Alligator mississippiensis: one gene and its partner. The main gene of each other region encodes a partner of the protein of the gene in region 2 in a complex. Links are inferred from orthologs where the notes say so. Each region holds a gene or a part of one and is shown on either strand. Other genes may lie near its edges. The genes, in order: AMH and AMHR2.

Region 1 (7,174 bases), on a different chromosome or scaffold from region 2:
ATCACTAGACAGCGCTCCCCAGGGAACCCTTCACATCTCCTTTTCTACCCGGGAACATAGTCATGCTCACCAAAGGCCCAAACAGCAGCTGACTTTTCTGTGGGATGGAGACCTGAATAGAGACTTGAAGAACTCAAGTCCAAAAATGTTATGCATGGCCAGTGACTGGGGGGGGCTCAGGTGCTGGGTACCACACCTGAGATACCTGGGGCTGACTTTCAGCACTGCTGAGCACCTGTTGCATCCACTGCTGGCAGTTGGATTTGGCAGGACTGAGTGCTTTCAAAACCCAGGCCTAGGGCATCTCATCAGGTCGGGCATCCCAACACCGAGGACAGAATTAGCAGGCACTTTTAAACATTTAAACCAAAAACCCCATCACCCCTGCAGCAAATAAGCAGGAGGCAGGAATCTGGACAACATGGTGGGGGTGCTGCTGCCTGGGGAGAGATCAGCGTCCTAGAAAAGGGCACCAGAGCCAAGCTTAGACTGAGCTGCTCCCAGCTTCAAACCCAGGTGTGATCCAGGGGTTGCAAAACCCACAGCAAATTTGCATAACTACTGATGCTACTTAATAAATGCAAATGAGGAGGCAGCAAAACGGGACAGAGGAATGTGATGTATTCTGCTAAATGACAGGGCATATTTGTTTTTATTTTAAAATTCAAAAATAGTTAGTGCCTGAAGCCATGGGCTGCTGTGTAGGGACCTGGGGAGCTTCCCAGGCATGGATCTTCTTGGATTATTTAGAACAGACATTAAATACAGTTCTGCTGAGGGCAGCGTGCTAGCCCAGCTTCCCGTAACATAGGCCTAAGGGCTTTTTTGTTTGAGAACCTGTATCAAACCATGCCGAAGGACAAAACGGAGAGCTCAGGTGCCACTGACTGGGGCGAGCATTGTGCATCTCTAAAGTCGCTGGGTGGTCTCAAACAGTTTTTAACCAGCTATTTGGGGAACTTAGGCAGGAACCCACAGAACAACCCCCCTAAACTGGGCTGGTCAGCAGTGCACAGGGGCATGTGCCTTGCATTGCAGTCTCAGCAGAAGCCAAACACTCAGCCAGGTTAAAGCCATGCTTGTACTGGAACAACATTGGAACAAACCCAGTAGTCAAATGCCAGATACTCAAATGCAGATGTTTAAATGATGCAATCACTTTGAAAAGGCTCAGGGCTGCCATTTCTCTTCCCTACCCTGCTGCGCAAGGGGTGCAAAGTTCCATCTGCATTGCGTTCACCAGAGCTCCCTGTGGCTTTTACTGCAAAGGAATAACTGCAAGGTTTTGACAAAGACAGACTGCAAGGCAGCAAGCACTCCGATTTCTCCTCAGGAACAGGGTTTGGAGACAGAAATAAGATTAACACCAACAGGAGAAAAAAAGAAGAAAGGGGAACTGTGCTAAGCAACTTGATCTCTCTAGGATTTTACACTCTGCCCTCCAGCACGACCTCTGAACTCCTGTGAACTAATAGCAGGCAAGAGCAGAGCCACTGACTTTCTCCCTTTGTAGCAAACCTCGCCATGAACTACAGCAGCATCCATGCAGAAAAACTAAATCAATCTTTCTGTCCTGTTTTCTCCTCTCTTTTCCCCACATAGAGAACTTTATCTACATGATTGTCTGGGCTTTTACTGATACTATTGGAGGAATAAATGCTGGTGGTCTGTTTTATGCCAGGATGCGACAACAGTTCTTATCTGGGGAGAGGGTGGTAGTGGTGTCCGCTAGCCAACAATGCTAGAAGTTACAACACATACACCCTTGAGAGGTCACCCAGCAGAATTGTAGTTTCCTTAAAGACATGTTGGAAAAAGTCTATTGCATTATAAAAATTAGGCAGGGTAACAGCTTATGGACCAATTCAGAGGCATGAGCTCTCCTAGGCCACAGCAGCTTGCTTTGTCAAAGTAGGCTATGTCAGAGTACTGGTAACATTTAACAAAGTAGTCTGGAGCCTAGGAGAGCTCACACCTCTCCAAACAAGTCTGTAAGATGCCACCTTGTCCCGTCTTCTGCCTAACTTCGGACCAACATGGCTAACTACCCCTCGTTATCAACCACTTAGAGAAGAATCCAGCCCCCAGATGTCTTCTTCCAGCAACATCTTTCTCTCTAGTCTGCAAAGCAACGTTGCCTTGCATTCCTCACCACCCTATCCAAGCACTTCTCTAAGCCTCCGTCACTTCAGGATTTGCTTTATTAAACCCTAGAAGAAAGTGAAGCACGTACCTTCCTCCAGGTGCAGGACCAGAAACTGGTTCTCTCCTGGCTCACTCAAATGAGCACTGATGTGTTTCAGAGACAGGAGTGCAGCAGATGTGTCCCCTGCAGAGCAGAGACCAAAGGTCTCCAGGGGGGCTTCTTCCCAGCCAGCATGTCTCACCAACTTGATGAAGTCACTTTCATAGCTGGTAAGGACACCCATGACTTCCAAGTGACTCTGGCCCAGGCCATCCTTCCTGTCCATTTTCAGCCTGCACACTGGTCCTTCTAGCCCACCCAAAAGCCATGGGTGAAGGCTGGCATTAGGCTGCAGATAGGAGAAGACTCCTTGATCTTCAGTAATGAGCTGGTTGTGTTTTACTACTTTGGAATCCCCTCTTGGCTCACCAGCCTTCAAGAGCAGGTGAGGAGCAACTGTGGCTCTGCCCTTTGAGGCTATGAAGTTTCCTGCTCCTGCATGACTACTCATGTTTTCCTCCTCTCCAAGTCCTAACTCTCTTGCAACAGTACTTTGCAGTTCAGCAGGTGAAAGGCCTTCCCCAAAGCTTCCTATTCTAGGTAGAGCTGTAGAGGGGAACAGCAGCAGCAGGCACTGCAAAACCACCCTAAGCACAGGACCCATGTTCCAGCTTTGAGCAGCTCTGAACTCAGCTGTTAAGAGTTGCCAGAATCCATCTTTTAAACCTTTGTGCAGGACAGGAGGACTCTATCTCCCTTCAGAAGGCAGTGACCTTGAGTTGACAATGCACAACACACCTCCCTTGAGAAATTCAAAGGCCAATGTGCTATAAAGGAGGGAGGGCCAATTCAAAGGAGTCTTTCTATTTTTGGCTTTGCAACCAGTGCTTGGAAATGTTATAAAATTGAAACTGTTTACCTTCTTTTTAGGGATTCATGTCCTTGACTTAAAATGTTTTTAAAGAATGGTATATGTGTGTGTGGGGAGAGGGAAGGGAAGGGAGAAGAGAAGTTTAGATTTGAATTTAATTTGGCACAGCCTCCCTAAGGTTGGAAATACCAAGGGGAATTTGTTAGAGAGAAAGCAGCAGGTACTAAACAGGGACAATGAGAGGAATTAAGAGAAAGTAAATTTGTGTAATCTATAACCTTTCCCTACTGGAGTGTCCCTGGATTAAACTGGCAGCTCCTGTGCTTCCATTTTGCAGGCAGTGTAGAGGGGTCATCTTATGACAACTCCAGTCTTTCACAGCTCCTTCCAAAACGCTCACCTGCTTGGGTCTCAAAATAATTCTTTTCTGCAGGAGAACCAGAAAGGGATTTTTAGAGGGAAGCAATGGAAACATACCTTGATTATTTTAAACTAGACTGGATAAGGTCACAAGAAGCAGTTCTGCAATGGCCTAGAGAGATGAAACACCTTAAATCCATACTTATCACATGCACAGGATTTCTTAATCACTTCTTCTGTTGCCAACAGTAAATATGCTATTTAGGATAGCTAATTCTGGCCATCACACCCATTCCAAGGAAATGTTATGCCTATTTCTTTCCCAAAACAGTGCATCTTTAAAACAAAACATACAGGCAGACTTTTCCTGCTAGCTCACAGGGTTTTGCTGTCAAACTCTACTCATGAGCTGACTACAGTGCACACAATAGCTGGTTTTATCACATGCCTTGAATCCAATGGAGCAAAGGGTTCCTGGATCCAGAATTCTCTACAATGGGCCCTACAAACTATGACTCCAAGCCTTCTCCGGGTAGCTACAAACGATGATGATGCCAAGCTTTGTCCAGGTAGGATATTTTGACTTGACAAAGATAAAACGCAAAGCCTGTTAAGACTCATGGTTCAGGACAGCAGCCAACATCGATTTTTTTTTTTTTATAACTCCAGAAGTCATTATAACATTTAGTTAAATGTTCATTTAAAAGAAGTTCCAGATTGATTTTCTCTGCTTAAAAATTTTACTTTATGCTTACTTTGTCTGCACTTCTGACACACAAGCCATGTGTGATGGAGCCATTGTACTACCTCTGCATTGGACACAAATCAAACATCCTACAGGGCATAAATCTTCTGCCAGCAATTTGCCAATGGTTTATCTACACAAGGAAGCTAATTCAGTTTAAGACAGAGCAGTATTTAAAAGTGCAATAGCTATTCTTAAGTATTTCCCTGCATACATATTCTTATTCCAACCTACTTAATCCACTTCCAAAATGAATTTTGCTCATGCAGATCAAAGTAGATGACCTACGATAAAAGCACGCATGCAGGGAGCTATTCTGGATACCAATCCTAGAGTAACTTCTTGTGTACATAAACCCCTAGATATGCATGGTGGCATCTAGGTAGGAACAAAAACAAGTGCAACTATGCTGCAGGCAATGGGAGTGGATGTTGATCACCCTGGGCAGGACCCATCTTCAGTGAAAACGGTGCAAACATTTGCTACTGAAATGGAGACAACTTCCCATATTTTTGATGGGAGCTGGCCTGCTGCCCACTGATGTGGTGATAGTGGGTATTTATCATGCGACAATGTGGACTGTGAACTATTACCACCTCCAGCTAAATAAAAAATTTATGAGGAAATAAATGTCACTCTGGAGCTCAGGAACTCACATTACTTTAAATTCATGGTTAATTAAATTAAAAGTAGATTTCCAGGTAACTCCAGTCATTTGTCTGCTAACTGGATAAGTTCTGATAAGCTACTAAATATTTCAAGACTGATAATTTTCCTACCTCCTCATTGTGGGGCCTTTAAACAACACTTGTATGAAAACAAAGGCAACAGTTTTACTCAAAAAGAGAAGCATGTATGCAGAAAATAAAGTTGAAAGCCTTTTAATGAACCTACGAGATTTAGGCAAAAACCGCTGGCATATAAAAAGGACAAATATTTATCATCTCTGAGCAGGATGTGGTGTGCAAGTAAAATACACAAATCAAAGAAGTCCACTGAGAGAGTCCAGGAAAAGCTTTTCAGTTGGAAGGAGGTGGAGGGGGAATAGTCCCTGGCCCCTCCGTGGGCAGAGGTGGTCTCATCATTGGTGGCAGAGGAGCAGGAGGAGGTACCCCAGGAGTTGGTGGCAACTGAGGTGGTGCTGGGGGCGGTACAGGCCCAGAGGGAGGCATGGGTGGCAAGGGCATGCCTCCTGGAGGAGGTGGCGGTGGCAGAGAGTCTGGCAAGGGTGGCCTGGGGGGCAAGCCATTCATCAGTGGGGGTGGTGGAGGCCTCTTCACAGTTGGGGGCCCAGGAGGGATACTTTGAGGAGCTGGAGGCTTCTCCATCTTGAAATGGAACTGAAGGAAAAACTAGAGCAAAAAGAGGGAGAGATTAAAAATAAATCACAGGGTGACTGGTCTGCCCACTTCTCTCCTGATGCCTCAAGGAACAACACCAGGGCCACGTCCACATGAACGGGGACGTTTGGTTTCCCAGGGACAAGTAGCAGCAGCACACCTTGTACCACTGCTACTTATCCCCAGGGAGCACCCAAGCCACGTGCACTGTGGTGCGTGGCAGGTTACCCTGGGTGGGGAAGGGAAGGCTGGGCCCAGCAACTGTGCTGCCCCAGCAGCTTTACTTGGGCTCTTGGAGCTGGGAGCCTGGCCAACAGCCAGAGCATGGCTTCAGCTGGCCAGACTCCGGTTTTGGGCAGCACATGCTGCTGCCACGTGTGCTGCCCCACTTTTTTTCCCCCCCACACAGGTTTGTTTTGATCCCTTCGTAGCAGTACAGAGGTCGCAGCACACGGAAAACCTGAATGTGCAGTGTGTGGTGCGGCAGATGGGTTGGCAGCACCACATACCTCACAGCTGCACTCATCTGGACGTGGCCTAGGTGACTGCTTCTGAACCAACATCTGTAGTACATCCTGATCCAGAAGACCAGGTCACTTTTGGACACACTTCTCTAGTCACCAACTATAGAAATGATCCCTAAAAGTATATATTACACACTGCCTCTCCACCCATATTACACACTGCCTCTCTCCACAGCTTTGCACCAATGGTCCCACTTGTCATTCTAAGTCCTCATGCTCTTTCGGCTCAGCACAAATGCCAAGCTGGAAGTGACCAATTTAGCATCCTACACCTATCTGAAAATATGCATGTGCCACGCCATACTGCAGCCCAGAACCTCATGCATATGTATGTCACTGTGCAATAGCTGGCTCTCAGAGGTGTCCCCCAATGATACTAGGAGCAGAACATGATGCTAGGTACTAACCCCTTAGTGCCAGGCTTTGGAAAGTCAGTATATCCCATGTGGCAATATCTGCCTCCAAACCTAGCTTCCAAAATAGAAACAAAACTGGAAAATTCCTCAAGTAGAGCTCTCTCAGCTTCATGTTTTTATTGTTAGTGAACTTACCACTGGTCATGGGAGCTGGCTTGATAGCCCTGCACAATTACATTCTTTATTCTCTACAGTGAACATGGGGAACACAGCTAACTATCTTTCTCTGCAGTTAGCATGTACTGCAGTAGCTGTACAAATTTTCCCCAAAATACATTTCAAACCTCACCTCTAGGGACTTCTGGGGGCACGAACGGAATATAGTCTTACAAAACCATTCAAGTCTCGACCTGCCAACTGGGACTGCAAGCAAGAGGGCTTGCAGAACTGGTGTAAGAAAAGCTGTAAGGGTATGAAGGCCTGTCTTCTGGGAGGAAAGGAAGCTCATTTCATATGTTCCAAAAAGAGTAATTAGACTGTAAATGGAAACATTTCAACACAAGACTAAGAAAAGAAGTCGACCTGCAAAGGTCTTATGCCTGTGAGCCAGTCTCAGGCAAATGGGTTTGTTTAAACTGCTTAGGCCTTAGACTGTCAGTCAAGACGACATCATCGTAAGGCATAAGGCACAACAAAGATTAAAATTCAGGGCTTGATCCTGTAATGGGGCTAGTAATGAGACTTATAATGAGACTTACTGCAGAAGGTGGAGCTTGCAAGTACCAGTACTTGT
Region 2 (7,235 bases):
GTGTAAGTCAGGGAACTGCTATGGGGAAGCTCACAGCGCTGGGGGCCAGTCCAGGGCACTGCTGGGGGGAAACTTGCAGCACTAGGGGCCCGGCTGGGGCATTGCTGTGGTGAACCTCACCATGCCAGGGGTGTAGGCTAGGGCACTGCTGTGAGGAAGCTCACAGCACTGGGGCCAGGCTAGGGCAGTACTGGCCTATAAACCGGCTTGACCTGGCCAAGGCCCTGCTTCCCCCTCCATCCCACTGGTGCCAGGGGAGGAGGGGGACAGATGCCCAGGGGCAGCCCCCGGTGGCAACCCATCCCAGCCCAGACCTGTAGGAAGTGAAGCGCTGGCAGCTCCTGGCTGGGGGGGTCCCTGGGGAGGGCAGAGCTGGGGCCCGGGACCCCCTTGGCATGCTTCCCCCGGGCCCGGCAGCTCAGCAGCATGGAGCAGACCTTCACTCGCCACAGCCCTGAGGGGAGACACAGGTCACCAGGATCCCCAGCACCATGGGGCCGGAGAGCCACAGCACCCCAGCCAGGGTTGCAACCACTGCCCCGCGCCCCTGTGGCACCCCCCAGTGCCCCACGCCCCTGTGCCACCCCCCCAACCCAGGGCAGGGCTGGCACCCCACTCGCCCAGGCCAGGTGTACCTAGGAGGGCCAGGCAGCCCAGGAAGAGCAGGACAGCGCCCGCGATGCACAGGGGCCCGGAGGGAGTGGAGGCCGAGGACGCTGCGGGAGGCAGGGAGAGGGGTGCAGAGAGGCACGGCCCCCAGCAGCCATGGCCCGTGGCATAAGCATGGCTCCCCCGAGCCGTGGCTGGGGGCCCTCTGAGACATCCCCCCCACTCCTTCTTGCAGACAGGGCAGCTTGAGGGTCAGCGGGTAGGGACGGGCAGGGGCTAGGAGTCAGGACATCTGGTTCTCATCCAGAGTCTTGGGAGGCAGGCAGTGGGGCCTGGACTCCAGTGGAGAGAAGGCAGGGGGGCAGGGGTGTCTCAGGGTGGGGGCCAGAGGTAGAAGCAGGTTTAGTGCCCAGGAGGCAGGCAAAAAACGGGGGAAAATCAACCCCTCCTGGGCTGGCCCAGGCTGCAAGCCTGCAGAGCTACCCCCCTGGGGGACAGCCATCATCCCCTGGGGTCCAGCTGGACCAGGTGAAAGCTGCCCTGGAAACTAGCCAGGTGTCCAGACCTCCCCAACCTGCAAGAACCGGGAAGAGAACCCAAGTGTCCGGCCAGACCCGCCGGGGCCCCGTGGCAGGGGGCTCCTCGGGCCAGGCGGGGCTGTGTGAGCGCCACAGTCCCGGCTCCTACGGGTTTATCAGGCTGGCCGAGGCCCCTCCGCCTGGCGCCCACTCCAAGGTCTCAGCAGCTGGGCCCAGAGCTCAGACGCAGACTCCCCCACGGGACAGGCGGGGGCTGCACCTGCGAGGGGGCTGCTCCATCCCGGCAGGGCAGAGGGGCCTGCTGAGGGCTGTGGGGGGCATGAAGGCGAAGGGTGGGGGGTTGGCAGGGCCTGGAGGCCCCCCCAGACAAATAAGCCCAAGCCAGCCCCCTCTCTTGCACCTCTGCTTGGCTGACCCCCACATCCCTGCCCAGAGCCTCCTGTGACCCCAGCCGGCCCCGGCCCCCTACATGGAGCTCTCGTCTTTACGAGGGACCCCTGCCCCAGCCCCTCTCTGAGCCAGCTCTGCCAGGCTCTGGACCCATTTTTGGGGCTCCCAGGCCTGGCCTAGGGCCCTTGGGTGCTCCTGGGGGGTGGGGGGGGGAGCAGCCTGAGGTGAGAATGGGAGACCCCCAGATCTCTATAGCAACTGGGACCCAGCCCCAGGCCCGCCGTGGGGGCCGGGAGGGGGGGCACAGGCTGCTCTCATGACCCCAGGGGTAACCCTGCCCCCCCAGCCCTGGTCCAGGAGGCCCTCACAGGCCCCTGTGCACAGAGGATCCCCCAGTTCTGCTCTGGGGGGGTACATACCCTGTGGTGCAGCCCCCAGGGCACTGATGTTGGCGTTGCAGAGATCAGCACGGCAGAGGCAGCGCAGCAGGTTGGCGCGAGGGCTGGGTACACAGGCCACCGCCTCGCAGCCGTCCCGGTCGCTGCTCCAGCAACCTGCCCCGGACACACCGACGGACCGAGGCGTCAAGGCACCGCCCCCACCCCAAACACAGCTCTGCTCTCCCTAGACCCCCACACCTCCTTCCAAGACACCGTGGGTCTCATACCCCGACTGCCTGGTGCCCACAAATGCCTCCCGTTGGGCACGGGGGTCTGGCAGAGTTGGGGGGGGGGGGTGCTGCCAGCCCAGAGCACCCAGCAGATAGGCTTATCCTTCCAGCTGGAGCAACCCTCACTTCCCACAGCACTGTCCATGAGTTCCCACAGCCAGGTTAGGGATGAACCCAGGAGTCTGGGCTCCCTGCTCCTCCACGAGACCCACAGGACCCTACTCCTTTCCCAGGAGAACCCAGGAGGGGGTCCTTGACCACTGCTCCCCTCCCACAGACGGGCAGGGACCCAGGCGTCCGGGCTCCTGGCCCCACTGCTCTGCCCTACCAGGCAGACCCCGCTCTCCTCCCCGTGGTGGAATTTAGGGCTCTGGCACAGGGTCTTGCCACCATCCAAACCATGCTGGACCCCAGTGTCTGGGCACCTCACCTTGCATGAGGATGTGGCTCTGGTTCCAGAGGCCGAAGCAGCATTCGCTTTGAAGGCACTGCACAGCGCCAGGCTCGGTGCCCGTCAGCGCGCGGCCCTGGTGCCGCAGGCTGCCCCGCACGCTGGGGTGCTCGTAAAAGATGCAGCTCCTGCCCAAGACGCCTGCGGAGACATGAGGCTGGGCTGGGTCCCGGGTGGAGAGACCCCCCAAGTGCCGTCTGTCTTGTTCCGTACCTGCCAGGCCCAGGCTCAGCCCCAGCCCCCCCCATAGGCTCGTGGCCCCGGAGCCCATGGTGGCCGTGGCCCGTGCTCCGTCTCCTGGCACCTGGAGCATGCGTGTGCGTGCGTGTGTGTGTATGTGAGCCCACCCCAGGCTGCCCGCTGGCCCTCCCTGGGGGCCGGCACAGGTGGGAAGGACTTGGCCGGCTGCATGCGGGGGCCGGGGCTGGGACGCTGTCAACAGCCGGAGGCTGGATGAGAAACAGGCGACGGGACAGACAGGGGTACCGCACCCCGGGGCACCTGGTCCCAGCTAAGATGCAACCCCACTCCACATGCTCCCCAGCTCCAATGGCTTCGGGATTAGAGAGCTGCGCCCGTGGGGCAAGCAGCTCCCCAAAGCCTGGCTACCCCAAGCTGGGCCCTCAGCGCCGTTGGGAGAGTCCAGCCTCCCCCACAGCTGCAGCAGGATCGGCCTCCCCTCAGCCTGGGCTCACGTGCAGCCATTGATTTGCTCCACCCCAGAAGCAGCTGCATTCTCCCCTACGCCAGCCATGCATTTCAGGGGGAGCTGGGCCTGGCTCTACATAGGGACCCCCCAGCATTTTACCCGCTCATCTCTGGACCCTTCCCCGAGCCCCTACAGCCCTGTCAGCCGCAAAGTCTTGGAGAGCCCAAGCTGGCCCCGAAATTAGGAGTTTGGCTCTAAAATCCTGTGATTTTAGGAGACCACCACATCCTGCCCAATACGCTTGTGCATGTATGCGTGTGTATACAGCTTGCCAGGCTCCAGCTCCCACCTGATGTGGAAGAGCCCAGCCTCCCCCTCAAAACCCAGGTGGCAGCCTGCAGGTACCCCCAGGTTACTGCCCGTCGGCTCCGAGTCCCGAGATCTCTTCTGCTGTTAGTTGCAGACCCTCGGTGAACGATTTTCTCCAGGTCGTGCAAGCTGCTGGGGTCTGCAAAGCTCCCAGCCCTTGGAAAGGGAGGCAGGTTCTCCAAGCACACAAGGCTCTTTGGTGACTAAGGTTAGGGGAGCAAATCTCCAAGAGACCCCAAGTGATTTAGAACCTTCCTGGCTTTGGGACTCTTAACACTGAAGTCAATTCCCCACCACGTGCCTCAGTTTCTTCCGCTGTAACACGACAGTGGGAACCCGGTCTCTTTTGTAACAGGCTTTGGGACCGGCTGCAGAACGGTGCCAACGTCACAGCTGAGGGTATCAGGACGAGGACAGCAGGAGTGGGACATGTGCTGGCAGACAGGCTTCTGCAGCCAGGACCTCTGGAGAGAGACACGAGACACGTACCTTTGCCTGCCCTCACCTGCATTGAGAGGCAGCACTCCATGAACTCCTTGGAAAAAATATCCTACAGGCCCCTTATGTAACTTTGCTTTCCCCTATTCTGACAGCGCAGTAAAACAAGGCTGGAGCAGGGCTGCATTTATGGCAGCAACCCGAGAAAAGAAACGGGTGCCCGAGGCAAGGACTTGGCCTCAAGCGCCCACCTACAAGCAATGAAACAGTCTTAAGTACGAAACTGGCCATGCTGGATTTGAATACAACTCCATAGACGCTGGTTTATTACCTTTAAAAAAAAAAAAAAATTGTCATCCGTTTACAAAGGAGCCAAACTACATTTAATATCTAATCTTTGTACAAAAAAAATAGCACTTTTAAAATGTGTTTCAGACATCATTACATCGGCAATTGGATTAAAAAAAGCACAGAGACATCATTACAAGATAAAAGGGTCTTTACATGGATACAGAGGATTATTGCCAGTGTTACAGAAGGTTGCGCGCGGCGGCGATGGGCACCCAACACCGAAACCCCCGCCCCGAGGGAAAGCGCGGTGAGCGGCGGGAGGCACTGGTGAAATGTCTCTGTGGCTCCTCGAGGGCCCCACGGCAAGGTCCTTCCCTCTCCCCTCCACTCTGTAATGCATAGAAGTAGTGGACACGTGCCTTTTCCCCAGCGGGTGGTGGGAACAAGGGGTAATGGGATTCTGGGGAGATTAAAGCTAGGCCATTCCCAACCATCTATGGCGTCGAAAATTGCTTCAAAAACAAGATATTCCCGGGACGAGGCCAATTGGCAAAGGGGACCCCTGGTTGAACATGGCTTTACTGCTTGGAGCCCCTGTATAAAAAAAGGCACATTTGATCCCGCAGGCACCTGCGGGCTAGGGACTATACAGTGCTCCCACAGCCCCGGCCCAGGGTCCCCCAGGCAGCGGCCGGCTGGTGTGTGCTTGAAGGAACAGTGCAATTTAAGGGGAGCAAGACCCTGGCAGCAAAGGGAGGGCAGGGGAATCGGGGTTCACCTACCAAGTTGGAAACTGCCGCATCGCTGCCCAGACAGCTCCAGCCCAAACCAGGGTTGTTACTGAGGATACGAGGCAAGGGTCCCCAGGCCTGGCATGGACGGGAACCGGTGCCCTGGATCTTTGCCAGGGTGGGATGTGGCCGCCTTGCACCTGCTGCAAGCCCAAGGCGCCTGCAGCCACGCCAATGCCAACAGAACTAGCCAGCTAATACAGTGATGCTAACAAGAGCAGAGGGAACCAAGCCAGGAGGTGGAAGAAGCCCAGTGCTATCTGCAGCCGTGAGAAATCAGCACTGGCAAAGAGGTCCCAAGGGAAAGGATCTGTGCACCTTCAAGCCACTAGAGCCTTTGGTGGCCCAGGTGAGCCCCGTCCCTTTGCCCTGCTCCCGCTCCCTGGAGGCTGGGGTATGTACAGGTAGTTCAGCTCTGCACATTAGCTGGCCCTGGCATGGACTAGGCTAGCTCTCAACATCTCTTCTGCTGGCTGAGCCCGTGTCCTGCTTTCGGCTGGAAGCTGCTGCTCTGAAGCTAGCAAGAGCAAACCCTGGACCTCAGGCCAGACAGCCCGGGAGGCTGCTGCTTTGCATGGCACAGGCCCTGGTTGTGGGAGCAGGAAGTCTGCAAGGCCCTTCCTGCTGGGTTTGTTTCCATAGGAAAATTAACATCTTGGCAAACTGCAACAGCAGTTCTGGTGCCCCAATGGGCAGAGCCCCCCTCCTACAGGGCATGGGCTCCAGTGCTTGCGTTTCTGGGATGCCATGAGACCCCGTGGGCTCCAAACAGCCTCACCCTCTCAGGCCTTGCTCGAGAAATGCACAATACTGTCCACTCCTTCCTCATCAGATCCCCCAGTCCCGCAAGGGAAAAATTTGGCACCTAAATCCTGTCATGTCCCTTCCAGACGCATCAGGCTTCTGCGCTGACAAGCTGGGGTGAGACAGCAGCTAGGACGGATGGACGAGGGGCAGGACAACATGCTCTCGCTAGGGACACGGGCTCTCCCAGATGGCACGTACTGGGCAACGGTGCTGAACACCAGCCACGCACCATGTTGTAACCTGCAAGGATCTCAGAGTGCTCCAAATCCCCCTGGATACATCAAGGCCAGCGACAGGGAGGAGATGGTAGTGCTCTCTCAAGGAGCTGCCTGAGACATAGGAGCTGACCTAGCCCAGCGGGGCAGGGAGACCAAACAGTGTTGAAATACTGCTTCCTATCGAACCCGCAAACTTCCCAGGTGGGCAAGAGGCGGAAAGCCCCGACGCATGGGCAGGGGTCTGCGTCTGGGATTCATAGTGCTTCACAGATCGGTACAAAAATACAAATGCTTAACGTTTCCTCTATAAAAATATACAAATGCAAAAATAGAGAGAGAGAGAGAGCAGAAAGATGTCAGCCAGAAAAATGTACAGCAGGAGTTCTCCCTCCCTCCCTCCCTGCAGCTAGGTAAAAAACACTAGGTAAAACATGTTGACACTTCACAGTTTGGCTGGGCTGTGCCCACGGCCAGCACCTGCCGACTGCAGCCCACAGAGCAGGAGGTAAATGGATCGACAAGGCATTAAGATCCTGCAGCAGAAACCGGTGGAAAGGGAGAGGGCAGGGTGAGGGCTGCAGAACAGCCTTCCGCTAATAGTTAAACCCCCCCCACCCTGCAAATGCACAAGACAGCAAAGCTAATGCTGGAGCCTGCACGGCCCTCAGCGATCCCTTCTGGCCTTCTGCTCGGAGCCCAGCTAATACCTAGTGGCCAGGGTGTGCTATAACACTCACCCCCAGCCTGCCCCGGGGACCTGGATCATATCCAAGGGAAAAAGAGGAGCAGAGCTGGACCTCGGAGAAAAGGGCACCATAGTGGAAAGGGAGAGAAGCTGCCTCTCTGCAGCACCAGAATCACGGGGTGGGAAGAGACAGAACAGAACGCAGCAGGGAACCCTGATCATTTCGTCCTCTCCACAGTACTTGCTCGAATCTCTTTGCCTCAAGCCAACACAACTCAGCGCAAGGAGCTTGGCCAGCCAGACCATGCCAGATCCCAGAACCTTTCTG

What was found.
Region 1: the proteins of AMHR2 (region 2) and AMH are in contact, whole or in part, in a crystal structure (PDB 7L0J), measured with the Homo sapiens proteins. The link is inferred for Alligator mississippiensis from reciprocal best matches to the Homo sapiens genes AMHR2 and AMH. Residues at the interface, in NP_065434.1 of Homo sapiens: Gly31, Val32, Arg33, Gly34, Ser35, Thr36, Thr38, Leu39, Phe62, Ile64, Glu75, Met76, Arg80, Asp81, Ser82, Glu84, Pro85, Ser95, Arg97, Ala98, Pro100, Ser101, Leu106, Thr108; in NP_000470.3 of Homo sapiens: Leu471, Arg472, Glu474, Val477, Leu478, Ile479, Pro480, Glu481, Thr482, Tyr483, Gln484, Lys534, Leu535, Ile537, Leu539, Glu542, Arg543, Ile544, Ser545, Ala546.

What each region holds. Positions count from the first base shown.
Region 1 is NC_081839.1:7,009,528-7,016,701, forward strand, and holds the start of AMH (muellerian-inhibiting factor precursor), read right to left. Parts: upstream 3,017-7,174; 5' UTR 2,850-3,016; coding exon 2,234-2,849; intron 1-2,233. Other genes in the region: SF3A2 (splicing factor 3A subunit 2), read right to left, coding at 5,181-5,513. UniProt on the Homo sapiens protein: Plays an important role in several reproductive functions. Induces Muellerian duct regression during male fetal sexual differentiation. Also plays a role in Leydig cell differentiation and function.
Region 2 is NC_081838.1:8,761,831-8,769,065, forward strand, and holds the start of AMHR2 (anti-Muellerian hormone type-2 receptor), read right to left. Parts: upstream 3,027-7,235; 5' UTR 2,973-3,026; coding exon 2,639-2,972; intron 2,093-2,638; coding exon 1,958-2,092; intron 717-1,957; coding exon 636-716; intron 455-635; coding exon 315-454; intron 1-314. UniProt on the Homo sapiens protein: On ligand binding, forms a receptor complex consisting of two type II and two type I transmembrane serine/threonine kinases.